2 linked regions of the Cricetulus griseus genome follow. The protein of the gene in region 1 purifies or fractionates together with the protein of each later gene. This does not show direct contact. Links are inferred from orthologs where the notes say so. Each region holds a gene or a part of one and is shown in the gene's direction. Other genes may lie near its edges.

What was found.
Region 2: the proteins of Fndc3a (region 1) and Tent5c purify together in Homo sapiens (affinity purification with western blotting; 3 studies listed by BioGRID, with this or other methods). This does not show direct contact. The link is inferred for Cricetulus griseus from reciprocal best matches to the Homo sapiens genes FNDC3A and TENT5C.

What each region holds. Positions count from the first base shown.
Region 1 is NW_023276807.1:227,224,189-227,232,858, reverse strand, and holds the start of Fndc3a (fibronectin type-III domain-containing protein 3A), read left to right. Parts: upstream 1-3,182; 5' UTR 3,183-3,310; intron 3,311-3,620; exon of another isoform or gene 3,621-3,638; intron 3,639-8,670. UniProt on the Homo sapiens protein: Mediates spermatid-Sertoli adhesion during spermatogenesis.
Region 2 is NW_023276806.1:56,479,674-56,488,148, forward strand, and holds the start of Tent5c (terminal nucleotidyltransferase 5C), read left to right. Parts: upstream 1-3,427; 5' UTR 3,428-3,682; intron 3,683-8,475. UniProt on the Homo sapiens protein: Catalyzes the transfer of one adenosine molecule from an ATP to an mRNA poly(A) tail bearing a 3'-OH terminal group and enhances mRNA stability and gene expression.

The sequences.
Region 1 (8,670 bases):
CCAGAGCAGGGGAGGCCCAACCAATATGGGCTAGGCCCTTCCAAATCAATAACTAATTAACAAAATGCCCCAGAGATGGCTTTTATGGAGACCATCTCAATTGAGATTCCTTCCTTTCAGATAACTCTAGCTTGTGTCAAGCTGACATAAAATCACCCATTACAGGCAACAAAGCAAAGCCCCTATCTTTTTACTGCTTCTGTCAGTCATGATTTCAGTAACTTCAATTTTCCCATACTATTCAAAATAATCTCACATGTGATATTCTTCAATGCCTTTTTCAGTGCCACTAACGATCTTTTGGGAATCTTCTCCTGGCATAGTTCTCTTTGGCTCCCCAACTCTTCCATCTACATTGTATGGCCTGACATTCATAACTGCATGGACTTTCTCCACTGCAGCGAACCTGACAAACTCAAAGCCCATGCCTGAAACACTTGGCATTTGGATCTCTCATAACCACACAGTTGGTTGACTCTCAGATTCCCGTAGGTTGTTTCTAAGCCCAGTCCTCCCATGGAGAGCTTCCTCAGCTTCCAAAATGGTTGCAGGCTCCTTAGGAGACTTTGACTTGGACCTGGCAGCAGGGAAATGAGAATCTGCACTGGTGCTTCCTTAGCAGCATCAACATGCAGAAAGCCCAAGCATTCTGAAACGATAGGGACAGTTCTTGCTAGACTAAAGGATGAAGACAAAATAGTGATGGAGGGGTGTTCGAGAAGAATGATAGTCAATCAAAACATCCCCATGAAGGAAACACCAATTATCAGGCAAAGGCACTGTGTGTTTACGTGTGTGTGTGTGTGTGTGTGTGTGTGTGTGTGTGTGTGTGTGTGTGTGTTGAGCACATGAGTGCAAGTTCCATTGGAGGCCAGAAGACGGTGTTGGAACTCCTGGAAGTGGAGTTATGTGTGTGGTTGTGAGCCACCCAATGTGGGTGCTGGGAACTGAATTCATGTCCTTGGCAAGAGCAGCACTTGCTCTTAAACACTGAGCCCACACATGTGTAATAGGCAGGGAGAAGAATGGAAATACCCAAAGGGACTGGAGAAACTGTGCCCAGAAAAATAGCAGGAAAATTAAGAAAATGGGTGCTAAATAAAGAAGAAAATTTCAAGGAAGAACAGTGTTCAAACTGTTTACTCTTGCTTGGAGCTCAAGAAGGATGACGGTTGAAATGGCATTTATTTTACTGATAAAGAAAATAAAGGCCTGTTCAAAGCCAGCATAGTTTCTTGTGCCTCTCTGACTATGGTGATTTATGTGTATGTTTCTTTCTCGCCACAGAATATAAATCCCCCAGTTTTTACCCAACTCCATCTCACAGCATTGTGTATCATATCAAAGTGTCTAGTTCTGCTTCAGTGATGTCTTGAATTACATGGCCCCATCTCCTTCAATGGAGCTATTATTTCTTGCTCTGCCTATGGTATGTACACGGACTTTACACATACTTCTCAAAATGCAGGTTTATTTTAAAAATCTATTGCTTTGTCTACCGCTGAATGAGGGAACCAGAATCTTGAAGGGGCAGATTGTAGGATTCTGCATTTTTACAGAGTTCACAAGCACAAAGCTTTGGAAAATACTAGCTTAGAGTTAAATTTGGAGACCACTAGTTTAGCCTCAAACCGAACAACAGTTGGGCTGCAGGATGGAGAAGCCACACAACTCCTCCACAGTCTGATATAAACTCTTATGTTGTCAAACAATGAGCAGTTATACTTCTGTTATTCCAAGATCAGCTTTCCAGCAATTTTGTCTGGAAGAGGGCCAAAGCTGGAAGTTAAGAAAATGAAACATTTCTCTTAGGGAAAGGACTTCTGGTCCTTCACTGAAGAGCAAAAAGAAAAAAAAAAAAAACTCATCTCAAAATAGCATTTGATAGTGTCACTGTCCTACTTACTAAGGGGAAGAAAAAGATCTTCTCATTAGCTGGCTGTGGATATAAACACCGATCAATTATTGCCTGCAGCCATGGAGAAAAGTAGGGAAAAAAAAAAAAAAAAAAAGAGGGCTTAAAAGACATCACCACCACCACCGGAAAATAGAAAGGGTTAAAGAGGATATAGAGGCAGATAAATCAAGGCTAAGTGAGGGGTCTTCGCCAAAAGTGAGGAGAACAGTGGGGGAAAAAAGCACCAAAAGTGGGGACTCTATACACTCTGCAATCCCTTGGGACTTTGGTGTAGGGTCTGAATAATTCCATTTGATAGTCAGTGATCCGCTAAGAATTTCCTTATCCATTGTTTTCTTTGAGAACGTAAGAAATACGTACATCTTCAAGAGATTTCTGTCATATGGTTTAAAAAAAAAAAAAAAAACAAGATTGCCATCTTAAAACGCAGCACAGTTAATAAACCGAAATACAAGTCAGACGTGGAGCCTGGTTTCGCCAGGCACCAGTTTTGGAAGGACAGGGTAGGACTCAGGTTCCCAAAGACGACCCTCTCCCCAAGGCTTCCGGTGAAACTGCAAAAGTAAGCAGTCCTGGCCAGCCCTCAGGTATTACCGCAGCGTGTCCCCCACTGCTTGAGGCTTAACGAAATTGCTGCCGCCTTCGCTTCGGTCCCCGCTGTTGTAGAAATCAAGGTAACGGGTTTCCACTCGATTTGGCTGGTCCGAGACCAAGAGATTAACCACTGCGTTTCGGAACGAAGTAAATCCGTTTTGTGGGTGCTATCAAATACCCGGGGCTCTAAACGTTTAGGAGTGGAGACGTCTGAGCGCAAAGCACCTGCCCGCGTTCTAAGTTCTGGGTTTTCGTAGAGGGGCTGACACGGTTCATCTCCGGGGGTGGAGGGTGGGGACGCTTTCTCAAATGCTTTTGGAATGGCGTGTGTGGCTCCGGATATGTCAATCATCAGCACAGTTCCCGGGGCACTGCCCGGCTTAGGGAGAGCGGCAGCGCCGCACCACTAGCCGCCCGCGAAGCCTGGACGCGGGGCCACGAGCACGCGCGGGGGCTCCGGGTCCCCGCGGCCGGGGGCGCCGTCGGCGGGGCTCGCGCAGCCGCACTGGGCGCGCCGACTCCGGGGCTCCTCCTCCTCCCGGCTCCGTAGTAATCATGGCGGCGGCGGCGTTCGCGGTCCCTCGGGTGAAACAGAAAGCGGGAGCTACGCGGAGAGGGAGCGAAGAGCGGGGCTGAGGCGGCGCCGTCACTGCCGGGAAACAACCCCCAACAGTGCGCGCAGCGGCGGCCACGGGAGCCGGGCCCACCGTCACGGTTGTGAGAGGAACGATCCGGAGCCCCGCAGAAGACACGCCAGGGGATCCGCCTTCCTCCGCCTCGGAGCGGCGGCACTCGGAGGTGAGAGCCGGCGGGGGACGTGGGAGCCCGCGTCGGGGAAACCGTTAGGCTGGGGCTGCGGGGTCGCGGCGCCCGAGGGCTGAGCCCGTCGAGGGGTGGGCGACGCCCCCTCCTCCCCCCCGCCCCGTGTGGGAGGGAGGGGGAGCGCTGTCCGTGGGGCGGCGGGTCCGGGACGCGGCGGCGACGTGCGCGGCACCTGCAGGGGCTCGGCGGCGACCGCGGAGCTCAGCCCGCTCACCTGGGGGTTAAATCCTCGAAAACACGCCCTTCGGGTCTGCGCCCCGGCGGCCGGCCGCGGCTGCCAGCACCCGGCGGTTCCCGTGCCCAGGTAAGTTAACCACCTGTTCGGTCGGGAGGAGGACGGGAGGCTGCGGTCCTCGCCAGGCTCCCCAGCCTGCGTGGGTGAACTTTTGACACGACTCTGCAAAGGGCGTCGTGCGCTTGGTGCAGGAAAGCGAGCAAATCATTTCGACGTCAGATCGCGAGCGCTGCTGTCTTGAAAAGAGTGCGATAGGTAATCGTATTATTTTTATTTTTAAATTAAACTACCACCTTTTATAGAAGCCGTGGAATTGTGGGGTGTGTGTGTGTGTGTGTGTGTGTGTGTGTGTGTGTGTGTGACGATTGCTGGGGATGGTGAGCTAGAGATTTTTTTTTTTTCTTGTGAGACTGTAAAGTCTTTCCTTTGGGCACCTTCTTGTCTGTCCATCTATTTCTGAGAAGGGTAGGCTGACAGGATTTTCCTCTTTTTATAGTTTAATCTTTATGTGTTCACGGTAGACTTTAAAAAAATTGAGCCATATATTGATTTTGCTGCTTCGGTATTGTGGTCTATCTTAGTTCTGAGAAGCCAAGTTTGTGCGTGTTTTTCTGTGTCATAAGAATCAAATCGTATTGCTTCTCTGCCTTTTGGAAAAGATCAGTTGTAAGAATGAAATAACAGTTGAAGCTATTCTATAATATTTTAATCACTGTGCTTTTACCAGCATTAGTGCTAAACATATGCCACTCAAGATTGTGCCATATGTCAGACAGAAACAAATTGAGATTTCTGGCTCAGAGCTCGTGTTTAGATAAATATTTAGTTTTTGTGTATTTGTGAAGTATGTAATTCTTGCCATCTTGTAAGTTTTGTTTAAGCCACCTAAAAATGTTGCAGAAGGATGAGTCCCCTGCCTTCTTAATATTTTCTTGTTTGAATTAATTTTCCCAACTAATGAGATAAATTACCCGTGGAGACAGATAGTGGGCCTAATAGAAAGCAATGCCAAGGATTTTTTAAAACATGGTTTTTCTAAAATATAAATATGAGAGTTTGTTTTTAGCATTTTAGCCCACTTGTAATTCCTGCTACCACTAATAACACCCTTTAAAGGGAAGGAGAGATGATGAGGTGATAGAGGGAAAATCTTGCTTATATTTAAGAATTTTAGCATTCTCATATTACATTTCTCTGTACTTTTCTTCCTTGTCTTCATAGATCATCTCTCAGTTTTCTCTGTAGATGAAGTGGAAAATTTTTATCTCAGGCTGGTTACCTTTACCCACCTGTATGCGCCTGCCTTAACTCCTTCCTTTCCCTCTGTGTGACTCCCTCATCACTGAGTGATCAGGAAAAAAAAAAAACTCTTGCTTAACACTGCCTCCAGTGTTAAGTTACAATTGTAAGGGGGATTTTCTTCTCCCAGATTAATGTTGAGCATTCAAGAAAACAGACTTTTGGTGTCACATGTCATTATTTCCTCTCTCTGTGTAATTGACAGTTGATTCTATTTTACTATGCATTTCATGATTCCTTTTTTACATACTGTATTTCTATAAATTTTATCTTATTATAAATCAGGCAAATTGCCTTCCATGTCTAGTGAGATGAAGGCTGAGAGATCCTATAAAACACAGGAGAAAAAAAAAAAGAGATAATGAACATTGTTTTTTAGTTTAGACTTATAGGTAATATTTCTGCTTGTTTTGAAAATATTTGTATTTTTGCTGTTTATATATTTAAGGGTCATTAATTTTGCATTTTGCCTGTAGTGTTAATGTAACCAAAATAATTTTTTTTAAAGCAAAACATTCTTGGAGCATTTCTTTTCATGAAAATAAGTTTTGATTATGTCTTAGAGCATGATACAAGGATGGGCATATGATTTCCAAATTTATTAGCCTGATGATGGTAAGTGATAGGTGGTTGTTTGTTGTTGTTAAATGTAATCTCTCGAACAAGGACTACTACTTAAGTTCTGAATGTTTTAAAACAGATTTAGAATTCTGTACATGTCTAGCCCATTGAATCCTGTGGTACTTTAATTGATCACTTTGGTACAACGAATGTGTATCAATGTCAGAGCTCATTATCACAAAGAAATTGATTACCAATATTGTTAAGGGCACATTTTTGTTCTTTTACATGTTTTGTACGTGTTTATCCTTTTTAATACTTTAGTCTTTTTTTCAGAGTATTATTCAGTGAATTCTTTTTATGTCACAATCTTTAACCTTTTCTCCTACTGTTTGGGTTTTGTCTGTCTTTAATGTATACTAAGTTTGTTGTGCAGCCTCTGGGCTTCCATTAAGTTCTCTGGGTTTTATTTCTGATGTTCCCTATCCTCTGTTAACCATTTCCAGGACTTAGGCTACTTTTCTGCACAAGATAGCTGCTACAAGATAGTATATTTTCGGAGGAGATTGCAAGGACTCAAAGGGTGATGAGCTATTATCAAAGTAAGGGATACAAAAGCAGCTGGATATGCTCCTTCAAGCCATTTACAATTATTTGAGAATTGTACACTAACAAAGGAGACCATTAGCAAAAACTATAACACAATATTGTTAAAGGTGTGGCACCCACTGTGACCAAAGCTCTGTGAGGGAGGGCTAGAACCGTCTTGGCATTTGGAGGAAGTCCAACTTGAAATTTAGGAAGTGTTTATGTATCAAAGGAAAGCTCTAAAAGAGAGCGACAGGCAGAGTTGGAGCTAGCAGCCGGAGAGACCTTTTGGGAGCATCCAAGGACAGGCATTAGGAAAAAGAGAATGAGGTAAAGACTAGAGCTAGGCCTCACTAGGTATGAAGAGTAGAAAGCCCTGGAGAAGAAAGTCCTGCTCATCAGTAGGAACCTATCTTTGAAAGAAATAAAGAACCACACATCATTTTTTTTTTTATAGCATACCAAAGAATAGATTTCAATATGACATTCTCATCCTCATGTATCACTGTACTGGGCTCATTCTCTTCTCCATTACCATGTTTGGACCCTCTTTCCTGCTTCTTTCAGGCCCCCATTTCTCCCCAAAATGCCTCTTCTGCTTTCATTTCCAGAGAGTGTGCTCGAGTGCGTGTGTGCGTGCATGCATGTGCGCACGCGCACGCACGCGCCAGTGTGTCTGTGTCTATGAGAGAAAAGTGTGCCTCCTTATTACCTTCTCTTGTTCCCACCTCCCTCTCCCTTAATACCGCCATAGTCGCACTTCCTCTTTATGCCTTACCTAGACAGACAAAAATATGTAAAAATTAGGTATACGAGAGAAAATATGGTGTTTATCTTTCTTCCTCTGTTTTGTTTCACTTAGCATTTTGGTCTCTAGCTTCAAATTTCTTAGTAGGTAGATTGTGTTGTGTGTTTATTTAACTTAGATAAGGGTAGACAGCTATTTTATGTAGTGCTTGATAATATTGTCTTGCAAGCTATTTGTAGTCTCTGATGAATATTATTGCTTGTTTGCTTGCTTAAAAGAATCTTTTTAAAATGTAAAAACCATGTTAGCCATCTGGCCTAGTTCACTGAGTCTTGGTAGCTGACTGTCCATATAGCACATATTGTGAAGTATTTTCCCAATGGTTGTTTGAAGTGGTATACATATCTTTTCTTGTGGTATATAAAAATAAGGAAAATATGCCAGACTAACTACTACTATACTTATCACTTTGTGCCTAAAGTTCTGGGAAGAGCTTAGTCTAGGTCTCCAAAACAGGAAGTAAGAGAAGTCTTTGAGCTGGGCCTTATGGCAGTGAAGCAGCTACACAGTGACTGGCTTTAGAATTTGTGAGGTTAAGTGGATCAACTCTGTGCTGGGTTTATAGTTCTAAAAAATACAACTGGCATTTAGAAACCTTGGTTAGGGTCTTGGTGGTTTGTAAGTGATGACAGGGGAGCAATAACTTGTCTTTTAAAGGTGGCCCAAGGTGAGTTCTAAACATTTAGAAATCCTACAGGAACTCTAAGAAGAGTCACTGTTATGGAATAATTAGTAATAGATGGATAACCTAGAGTCATCTAGAAAAATGTTATACCATGTAGATTAAAGGAGAGAAGAAAGACCCAGAAATCTCTAAAAAAAATTCCTATTAACGTGATTTTAAAGCTGGGTGTGGTGGCACACACCTTTAATCCCAGCACTCAGGAGGCAGAGGCAGGCGGATCTCTGTGAGTTGAGGCTAGCCTGGTCTACGGAGTGAGTTCCAGGACAGCCAGGGCTACACCTACACAGCAAAACCCTGTCTCCAAAAAAAAAAAAAAAAAAAAAAAAAAAAAAAGATTTTTAAGGTTATTAAGCTAATTTCAAAGGATAAATACTGGTTGTTTTAAAACTTCAATTATATTATTAAACATTCCTTTGAAATTTCTAAATTCATAACATGTATGTCTAAGACAGCACTATTTCTATTTTCCCACTGTGCTTCTTGTATTATCACCAGATGACCTGTAGTGCCTGAGGTTAGCTTTATGGATCAGTTGGTGAGGGCTACTACATAGTTTGTGATATCAAGAGATTAAAATATAGCATAAGAACATTTTTTTCCCACTTTGCAGGCATTTAGGCTTTGTATGTGGTCAGTGTTAGGTGTTAGAAAGAGTAAATGGGACACTGCCTGGACAGAATCAGTACTGTCTCTCCCCTTTATTTTACTGTTAAAAACCATTAAAACCAAACCTAAAATTAATCTTTTATGCTTTTATGTCTATAATTTGCCTTCCTTTATAAATATTTTTACTATCTTAAGCTTAAAGACAGTATATGCCTCTTGAACTAGGTTTTGGCCTTTCTGGATTACTACCTTGTACAATTTTGACTTACCATTTTGCTTTAAGAAGAAACTAACAGCTAGGCATGGTGGCACATGCCTTTAAGCATTCCGAAGGCAGAGGCAGGAGGACCTCTGAGTTAGAAGTCAGCCTGATCTGCATTGTGAGTTCCAGGGCAGGCCAGCCAGGGCTTCACTGTTGAGACCCTCTTTTGGAAAAAGAAGGGGGGAGGAGTAATTAATAACTGACCACTGCTTTACTGTCCCCTCCCTGCCTGGCTTCCTTGCCCAAGGAGATGCAGTGCCTTGGGTGGTGCAGATGGTGCAAATCTTCGTTC
Region 2 (8,475 bases), on another chromosome or scaffold:
TAAAGACAAGAAAGCAAGGTCTTTGAAGCATTTTGACTGGCTGTGCAGCAGCAGAGGCTAGACTCTGGCAAGGAGGCACCAAGAGTATTGGAGGGACAGTTTAAATATCTGGTTGTATGTCCACTGGGCAGGACCAGGTTACTTCCTGAGCCTCCTGCCAGCTTCAGGGTGCCACAGTTTTATGAGGTAGAAAGAACACCGTGTATTAAAAAAATAAAACTGAAACAAAAATCTTTTAAAAGTTTAGAAAGTCTCCAGGAATTTTAAAAATTGAGGGGGAAATGCACACGTGTGAAGTTTCTTTTCCAGATCCTGGTTCTCCCATCTCCCCATCATAGGATTACCTAAGTTGATCAGGAAGTTAACAAAATGTCACCTAAGCGGAAAGCCAGATCAAACTTTAGGTTCCGAAGTCTACTTGTAGTAAAAAAAAAAAAAAAAAGCAGAAGGGACTAAAAGGGAAGAAAAGGGGCCAGCTGGAGGGGGGCCTGGTGGAGCCCTGAGAGGGTATCGAACAAAATGTATGACAAACATGCGTGTATGAAATGTCATGGTGAAAACCACTAATTTATATGCTAACTAAAACATAATAGTGTATCAAAACCTACCTTTGATGCCAGTATCTGTGTCAAAAGCCAAGGTAATAATTTGCTTAAGTGTTATTGAGATTGGAACTTTGTAGAAGGTCAGTTATTTGCTCAAGGCTTGAAACTTAATTCTCAGAAGAAGACAAAAGCAATTATCTTTGTGGCTTTGGGATAGGTGGAGAGTCCTTACACAGGACACAAAACACTAGGCCTTAAAAATAAGCAAAGATTGATAAATTGGGCTGATTAAAAATTAAGAAATTATTTTAATCAGAAAGTAACATTAAACTGTAAGTCAGCCACAGGTTGAGAGAAAGTATTTGAAACAAAGGACTTATATCAAGAATATGTAAAGAACTTGTAGAGTTCAAACTGGCAAACGACATGAATAGATACATCCCTTAAAGACCATCATAATGGATGGTAAACATCTGAAAAGTTGCTCAATCGAATTGATCACCAGAGAAACAATGTTTAATTACAATGAAATGCACATCCCTGTTTTTAATTTAAAGAGGAAACACTTGGGCCCGGGAGATGGCTCAGCGAGCAAAGCTGCTTGTGGCCAAGCCCGATGAGGACCTGAATCCAACCCCCAGATCCTACACCTTGGGAGGAGAGAACCCACTCCCAAGTGCTGTCCTATGACCTCCACATACCCACTGTGGTATGCACACCACCCTCCAACAAGAAAATATAGTTAAAACATTTTAAACACCTTGATACCAAAAGTGGTAAATATGTGTTATCATCACCAGGAATCTTACAGTACTGGTTGAACATAAACAGTTTATCCCTTTTGTTTTAAAAAATGTATCTATTTTTTTGTTTTATGGTTTAAGTTTTTATTTTTTCCTTGGTTATTTTTCATACTCAGATCACTGGCAATATATTTAAAGCTTAACATGTGTATACTCTGTAAACCAGAAGTTCCAATCCCTAGCATGTGTGTGACATGAATGATGCTTCTACACATAGAAGACTATTTTCAGCAAATTCACTATGGACTGTCCAAAAACCTGAAGCAACTGAAATGGCTACCAAACAGTAAATTGAGAACATAAACTGTTGGTTATTGAACGAATATGCAGTAGTGAAGAATGAGTCACTGTTACATACAACAGAGAAATCTTACAGACAGAAAAATTCTCACTCTCTATTTCAAGTTCATGTCAAGTTCAAATACCAGTGCAACTGAACCCTATGAGATAGTGAGTGGCAGGAGCCATGGCTAAGCTGGACTATTGTGGGTGACAGCCCTGTGGGTACTCACACCCATCATTCAGCACACAATAATAGACACTGTGAGACCATTCAGTGCTCACACCATCAACAACAAAACTGACCACCTACCCCTGAATTTGTGTTCAAGAACAGGGACACCCAATCTCTGTAAGTTCTCATACTGATGTCTTATACTGTTACAATTTCCCCTCCCCCCACCAGAGAAAGCCTGTACTTGAGAACTCTTCGCAGCCTAGCAGACACTGCAGGGCACTCATGCTAGGCAGGGGTGGTAGGAGAGCAGAGAACACTGATTCAGGAAGTCATCTTGCACCCCAGGTACCCAGGAGAGAGTCAAAGGAAGCTCAACAAGTGTTTATTAATGACTGCTTTCTGACTTACACAGCACCTGGCATGCACTTTATTTCAAGCAGTGCATGATTAATAACTATTTTCCTAATTTTGTTGTTGTTGTCGTTTTGTTTTCGAGATAGAGTTTCTCTGTATAACAGCCCTGGCTGTCCTGGAACTCACTCTGTAGACCAGGCTGGCCTCGAACTCGCAGAGATCTGCTTGTCTCTGCCTCCTGAGTGCGGGGGGATAAAGGTGTGCACCACCACCACCACCACCACCACCACCAGGCCTATTTTCCTAATATTGGTCTCAGTTATCCCATCCTTACTCCTATCCTGCAGATGGGAAGTAGAGGTTCATGGAGGATAGGTTAAGCCAGTCAGGAAGGCTGGGCCTGGTAGGCCACTCCTGTAATCCCAGTCGTGGGAGGTGCACACTGGAGGATCAGTTAAAGGTCAGCCAAGGCTACTTAGAGGCCTGTCTGGGTTCAGGAGACATTGTCTCAAAAACCCAAACCCCAAATAAAACAAAAACAGCTCCTCTCAAGGCCCTCCAGATATATAGTGGTGAAGGAGATTCCCACTCATTAGCCTGAATTCTGAAGCAGAGCGAGCCATCAACCAACCACGTGTAGGGGTGTTAAGGGCAGTGTCCGGGGTCCCCCGCCCGGCGGGTATTAACAGGTCACAAAGCCCTTTGCCGTTCGTTCTGAGGGCCTAGATGCTGTGCTTTAGGCTTTTGTGATGGGTTCCGGGGCCACTAACTAACTGCACACAGGTGGTCCCGCGGCCAGAAAATCAGCTGCTTCCTTTCCTCCAGGACCACGATCTCACCTCCAGCCAATTTGCTCGAGGAATAAGATTTCCAGGACCCACCTAAAAGTTTTCTGATTTCACAAACACCCCGCGAGACAGGCGTGGGCTTCCACTCCCGGCTCCCGGAATCAGGGAGCCACTGGTGCCAAGAGCGCCCAAAATTCAGAAAGAAAACGCAACCCACAGGGAGCAAGAATGGTGGAGGTGAGAACTCTCGGGGCAAGGGAAGGCAAAGACCAGGAGCCGCAGAGAAGGAGGCGAGCGGACAGAGCGAAAGTGTCCCCTCAACTCCTAAATTGGTGGCGACACAGCCCCCTCTCTATTGCGCCTGCGCAACGCTGCCTCCGGGCTACCCCGCCCCTTCGCGCCTCCGGAGGTTTACTTGTCTCTCGGCAACCATTGACCCGCAGAGCCAATCAGAGGGCGGCATTCGCCCGGGCCCCCGCCGTTAGCGCCGGGCGCAAGGATCCCGCGGGGCCGCGGCCGGCGCGCCCCGCCCTGGCTCCCCCGGGAGGCCGGCCGCGGGCGGGGGCAGGGGCGGGGAGGCGCGGGGGAGTGGTCAGGCCGGTTAAGATCGGAGGGGGCGGCGGCGGGACCGCTCACTCGCGGCAGCTGCCTGGGGGCCATAGTCACCGCGCCGCTCCTGCTCGGGGCTGCCCACGCCAACCACCTGCCTCTGTCGCCTCCTCTTCCAGCGTCCAGGTGAGTCTGCGCTCCTCTTCCTCCGCAGGTGTGAGGATGCTGCTGCGGTCCAGCGGGGAGCCACGCTCTCACGCTCCCGGGTTCGTCCCAGCAGAGCCTGGTGGGATTCCCCGGAGATGGAGGGGAGACACCGGCAGGTGTCAGGACCCGCACGGCTCCTGCGCCCCTGGCTCAGGCTACCTCCGTGAGAGAGCGCAAACTTTTCAGAGACTATGACCGGGGTCTGGCAAACTTGGGCGAGCTCCTGCTGGCCCGGCAACAGGAGAGTGGGTGGCGATCACTTCTTGCTCTTTCATTGACCCTGCCAGTAGGTCCGTCGGCTCTGCGCTGCGCCCCTGTGGTGCGCACACTGCAGCCAGAACCGGGGCGGTTTTGAACCCCGCGGTTTCGGCGGCTTAGATGGAGACGCTGCGGTCCGGGGTTAGAGCCTGGCAGGCGAGGGGAGGGCAGCTTCCTGGGCTCAGTGCCCAGGATGGCGGCAGAGATCATTCTCTCTTCTGGGACTGTGGACATTGCGCGCGGCCAAGAAGCTGCGCGTCTCTCGGAAACTTCTCGAGAATACGGCGACTGAGAAACCTGGTTCCTCCCCTTGGGGATCGAAAGTTGCCTACCGCGTGTGCTGAAAGTCGTGCAGAGTTAGTTGACTCTGATAGCGGTGCTGTTGGTGACTTAGAGGCGCGGCTGCCCGTTGCGGTGTGGGTACCCTTTACCGCCGTTCGCGAAGAGGGTGGGTGGGACATCTGAGGAAGTTGAGGAACCTGCAGTGCCAGCTGGTAGCCCTTACACCTAAGTTCTGATACTCAGTGAGCGGGCGGGCGGGCGACCTCAAAGTCAAGGGGGGGGGGCGCTGGTGAGGAAATGCCTATTTGGTTTTTCCAGAATATAGAATTTCCACCTGAGCCGATTGTCAGATCTGGGTAGTCTCAGCCCCTTTTCTCCCCTCTCCCCCTTTAAATGTGTAGAAACCCTTCTGCAGGGCCGTGACTAATTCCTGGTCTGAAATCCTTTTTGCCCCTCGATTTGAGGATAAAGTGCTGACAACGAAAGACTTAATAGACTTAACAGATTTGCAAAGAACAGCTATATATGTAACCGTTTGAATTGTGACGAGTTTGGTTCTGGAAGTAAAAGTCAAGATGGTTAGCTCCTCCTTCCAGCTGCCCCCTGGAAGGAGGGTGAGGGTGGCCATTGCTGGCTACAACTTCCAGTGTAGTTTGCTTGGCAAGGCAGTGAGTGAGCCAGAAAGCTTGCCAGGCAGCCGAGAGGGTGGAAGGAAAGCTTACCAAGAATTCTACCGTGCTGGAAGTCTCCAGAGGTGTGATTCCCCGCCCCCCCCCCACGCCCCACATTTTACCCTGCAGTTGAAGGGTGTGGGGTGGGGACTAAAGAAGGTTGAATTTCTTCTCCCTGCGGCCAGCTGGACCAACTGTGGTTCTGTCTTTTGCCATTCTTGTTTGTGAAGATCAAGTTCTTCGTAACTCTGAGCAGGTAGCTGAAGGGACACCTTGGTTTTGGAGTACCCAGATGTGAATTAGGAGCTTTTTGAAGATTCTGATGTGTAGAAGATTTTGATGTTTGTAATAATTGTTCCAGTATCTACACAGAATGTCCCTTACTGTCATTAAAATTATGGAGGTGGGGTGCTCAGCTATCTCTAGACTGTTACCAAAAGAGAGGTCCCTACTTTTGTAAGTAACTTTAGTGTGTGCACCTAGAGCAAATAGTCACACTCTTTAGGGTGAGTTTCTCCCATAATACCTGCCTTGTATCTGGAGATCAGTTTGTGAACTCTAGAGGGAAGGGTTTGGCTCTTGGCCTGTTGGTCAGAGAGTGTGTGGAGTGCTAAGGGCTCACTCTTCAGCTCCACTGCCAGTATCATTACCAAGCTTTCAGCCTGACTTGCAGCCTCCTGCATTCCCTATCCGTCTCCCAGTCAAGCACACACTTAGTCTGCATCCTCCAGTGTTCAAGACCAGGCAGATTATATGTGCCGTGCACTGCCCACCAGACAGTTCAGCCACAGCTCAGCCATGAAGGTGATTTAAAAGTGGGCTGTTGTGTGGTTAGTGAGGCTCAGCTGTTACAGAATCAGAAAACTGCATTGAATGTTTCCTTCCTTTCTTCCTTCCTTCCTTCCAGCTCCATCCACTAAGTAGTACCTTTTTCTTCATCTTTCTTCTTTGCTATGCCATCCTAGAGTCAGCCAATGAAGAAGGGCAACCGGGTTAGATCGTTGTTGCCTATATTACTGAGAAAAGCTATATAAGCCTGAGGTATGGTGGCGTTTGGGAGTTTATCTCCTTCCTGTCCCTGAAACACACAACTCTCTCTCTCTCTCTCTCTCTCTCTCTCTCTCTCTCTCTCTCTCTGTGTGTGTGTGTGTGTGTGTGTGGTGTGTGTTTGTGTGTGCTGTGTGTGTTTGTGTGTGCTGTGTGTGTGTATGTGTTTAGTCTGAGGCGTTTCCTGGACTAAGACTGGTCTGTTGCTCTCTCTCATTATTGAAGAAACGGGGAAATGTGGAAAGCTGCCCTCCACCATCTTGGTGTTTTGACTGTAGCTAATGAGGTTGTATTATGATGACGCCAACTCCTCCATATTTAAAGAAGTGCCCATGAGTTTAAAGCTACTTGAGACAACAGTAAAGCCGACCTCTTAATCTCTTGGACCATAGGTTTCTCCCACTTTTTAACCTTTTGATGGGATGCATTCCTTGTAAGGAAGCTTTTATTTAGAATTGAAATGGTCATAGAAAGTAGCATCTTTACATAACCCAACTGCATAAGGGGACCTTGTGAACTGTTTCAAATTAGTATTCTGTACAGCTGGCCCTTGTAGCTTGCTCTTGAAGTGTTTGCAGAACTTTTTGGAACAACAGAAAAAAAAACTTAATATGAAGAAATAATTACTGACATGAAGCAGATCTGTGTGCAAGGAAGCTTTATGGTTTCAGAGCATTTTCCACTGTGGGTCATTCAGCTGCAAGGAGGTGCTTATTTCTTGGATAAGGGCAGGCAGGCAGGCAGGCAGGCGGGCGGGCGGTTGGGTCAGAAAGTACTTCCTAGGTGGTATTTGGTGCCAGGTGCTTGGGAGGCTTAGGGAGTGGTATGTGAAAAGCCTGTGGAAGAGCTTTGGAGGTGAGAGCGGCTAGGCTGCCTTTATGATGCTCTTGAAGAACTTGTTTTTCTCTCAGTTGTCTCGCCCCCCTCCTCACACATGGACCCCAGAAAAGTAGGATTTCTGGTCACTCTATAGAGTCCTGATCCCTGCCTAGAGAGAGTGCATGCATGGCCTTGCATGCAGACATATTCCTCTAAAGAGAATGCACCTTCTACTGAAGGCTGCCTGTTGCTCCTCCCAGACAGAGTAGGAAGCTCGATTGGATTGAGTGTTCTGCTGGGTCAAGTCCTGGAGGATGGAGCTTCTTGCATCAGAGGCTCCTGGTCATCTTTTCAGGGAAGCCTCAGCAGTGTAGGTTTGGAGCTGAGGAGCAGTGAGTGCAAATAGATTAGCAGCTGAAACTCCTAAGCCTGGCCAGCCTCTAGCCCCACCCCCCAGCTCTCCACCCTCCCTCCTGTCCTCCCAGCCCCAGCTAGCTCACTCAGCCTTTCTCTCTCCGTGTTCACTCAGCTGCTGGCTCTGCTGACTCGTTCTTTTTTTATTTTTTATTTTTTTTGTTTCTCACTGTCATCACTGACCTGGTTTAGGGGACTGTAGACAGGAGCTGGATGAGAGTAGCAGCAGCCTCCCTGTCTCTGGCCAGAGAGATCAGTCCTCTGCCTGGAGCACTAGAGTAAGTTCCCAGGATCTGCCCATCCCTGAGATCTCCCTGTATTCCTCTAAGATGCTATTTCCTGATGCTTTCCTGGCTGCTCCATGGCAGGTGGTCCCTAACTGTCCTACCCTGCCTTGCAAAATACAGACTTTGATATTTGGGGGAGGAGGGATTGAGCACAACCCCTTCCCCCAAATGAACTTTATTTTAATATGTCTTTGGGACGTCTGTTCAGGCTCTGACAGATCTTCTCTCATCCGAGAGCCATATTTTCCCACATCTTTCTGCTCCAGTATTTTACAGTTTTCTTTTGCATATTTTCTTGTTTCTAAAAAAATAATATGGAACTAAAAGGCTTTTTTTTTTAAAGAAGCCCCCTGTTGTCTCCATATCTGGTCTCTATTTAAAAAAAAAAAGTGAAGAAAATTATTCAGGGATCATGAATCATCATCTCCTTATCCCATTCAATCCCCCTTCCCTTCTCTCCACACTTGGCCTTACAGAATGAGGCCAGCCCGGCCTGGCTGCATGCCCCTGCCTCTCCATGCACTGTGGTGTCCTTGTCCCTGCTTGTCATAGAGTTGGGCATCAGGACTCTAGCTGCCTGAGGCTATAGTGCTGTGGTGTGGAATATGGGGATATAGACGAAAGAGTGGGTTCAAGACACAGGGGTGTTTGCTCTGGATTGGTCATCTGGCATTCAACACCATTGCTGCTACATCTCATTCCTGACTGCTGTAGACTTTACACTTACTTCCTTGCCTTGTAGGCTGCCTTTCATTGGGACACTGATCCTGGCAGACCCTTTACTACTTCAGGCTTTCATTTCTGTATTGTCATCCACAGCAGACAGAATCATTGGTGTCCCATAGACATATGGGAACAGAAGCCTGGTAAATTTCATTTAAACCATAAATCTATTTATCTATTTAACTTAGTATGTCAAGTAATCAGTGCAAAATCCCATAACAGAGATATTTTATATCCCTCCTTAATATCAAGTCCCTGAAGTCTATTTTGC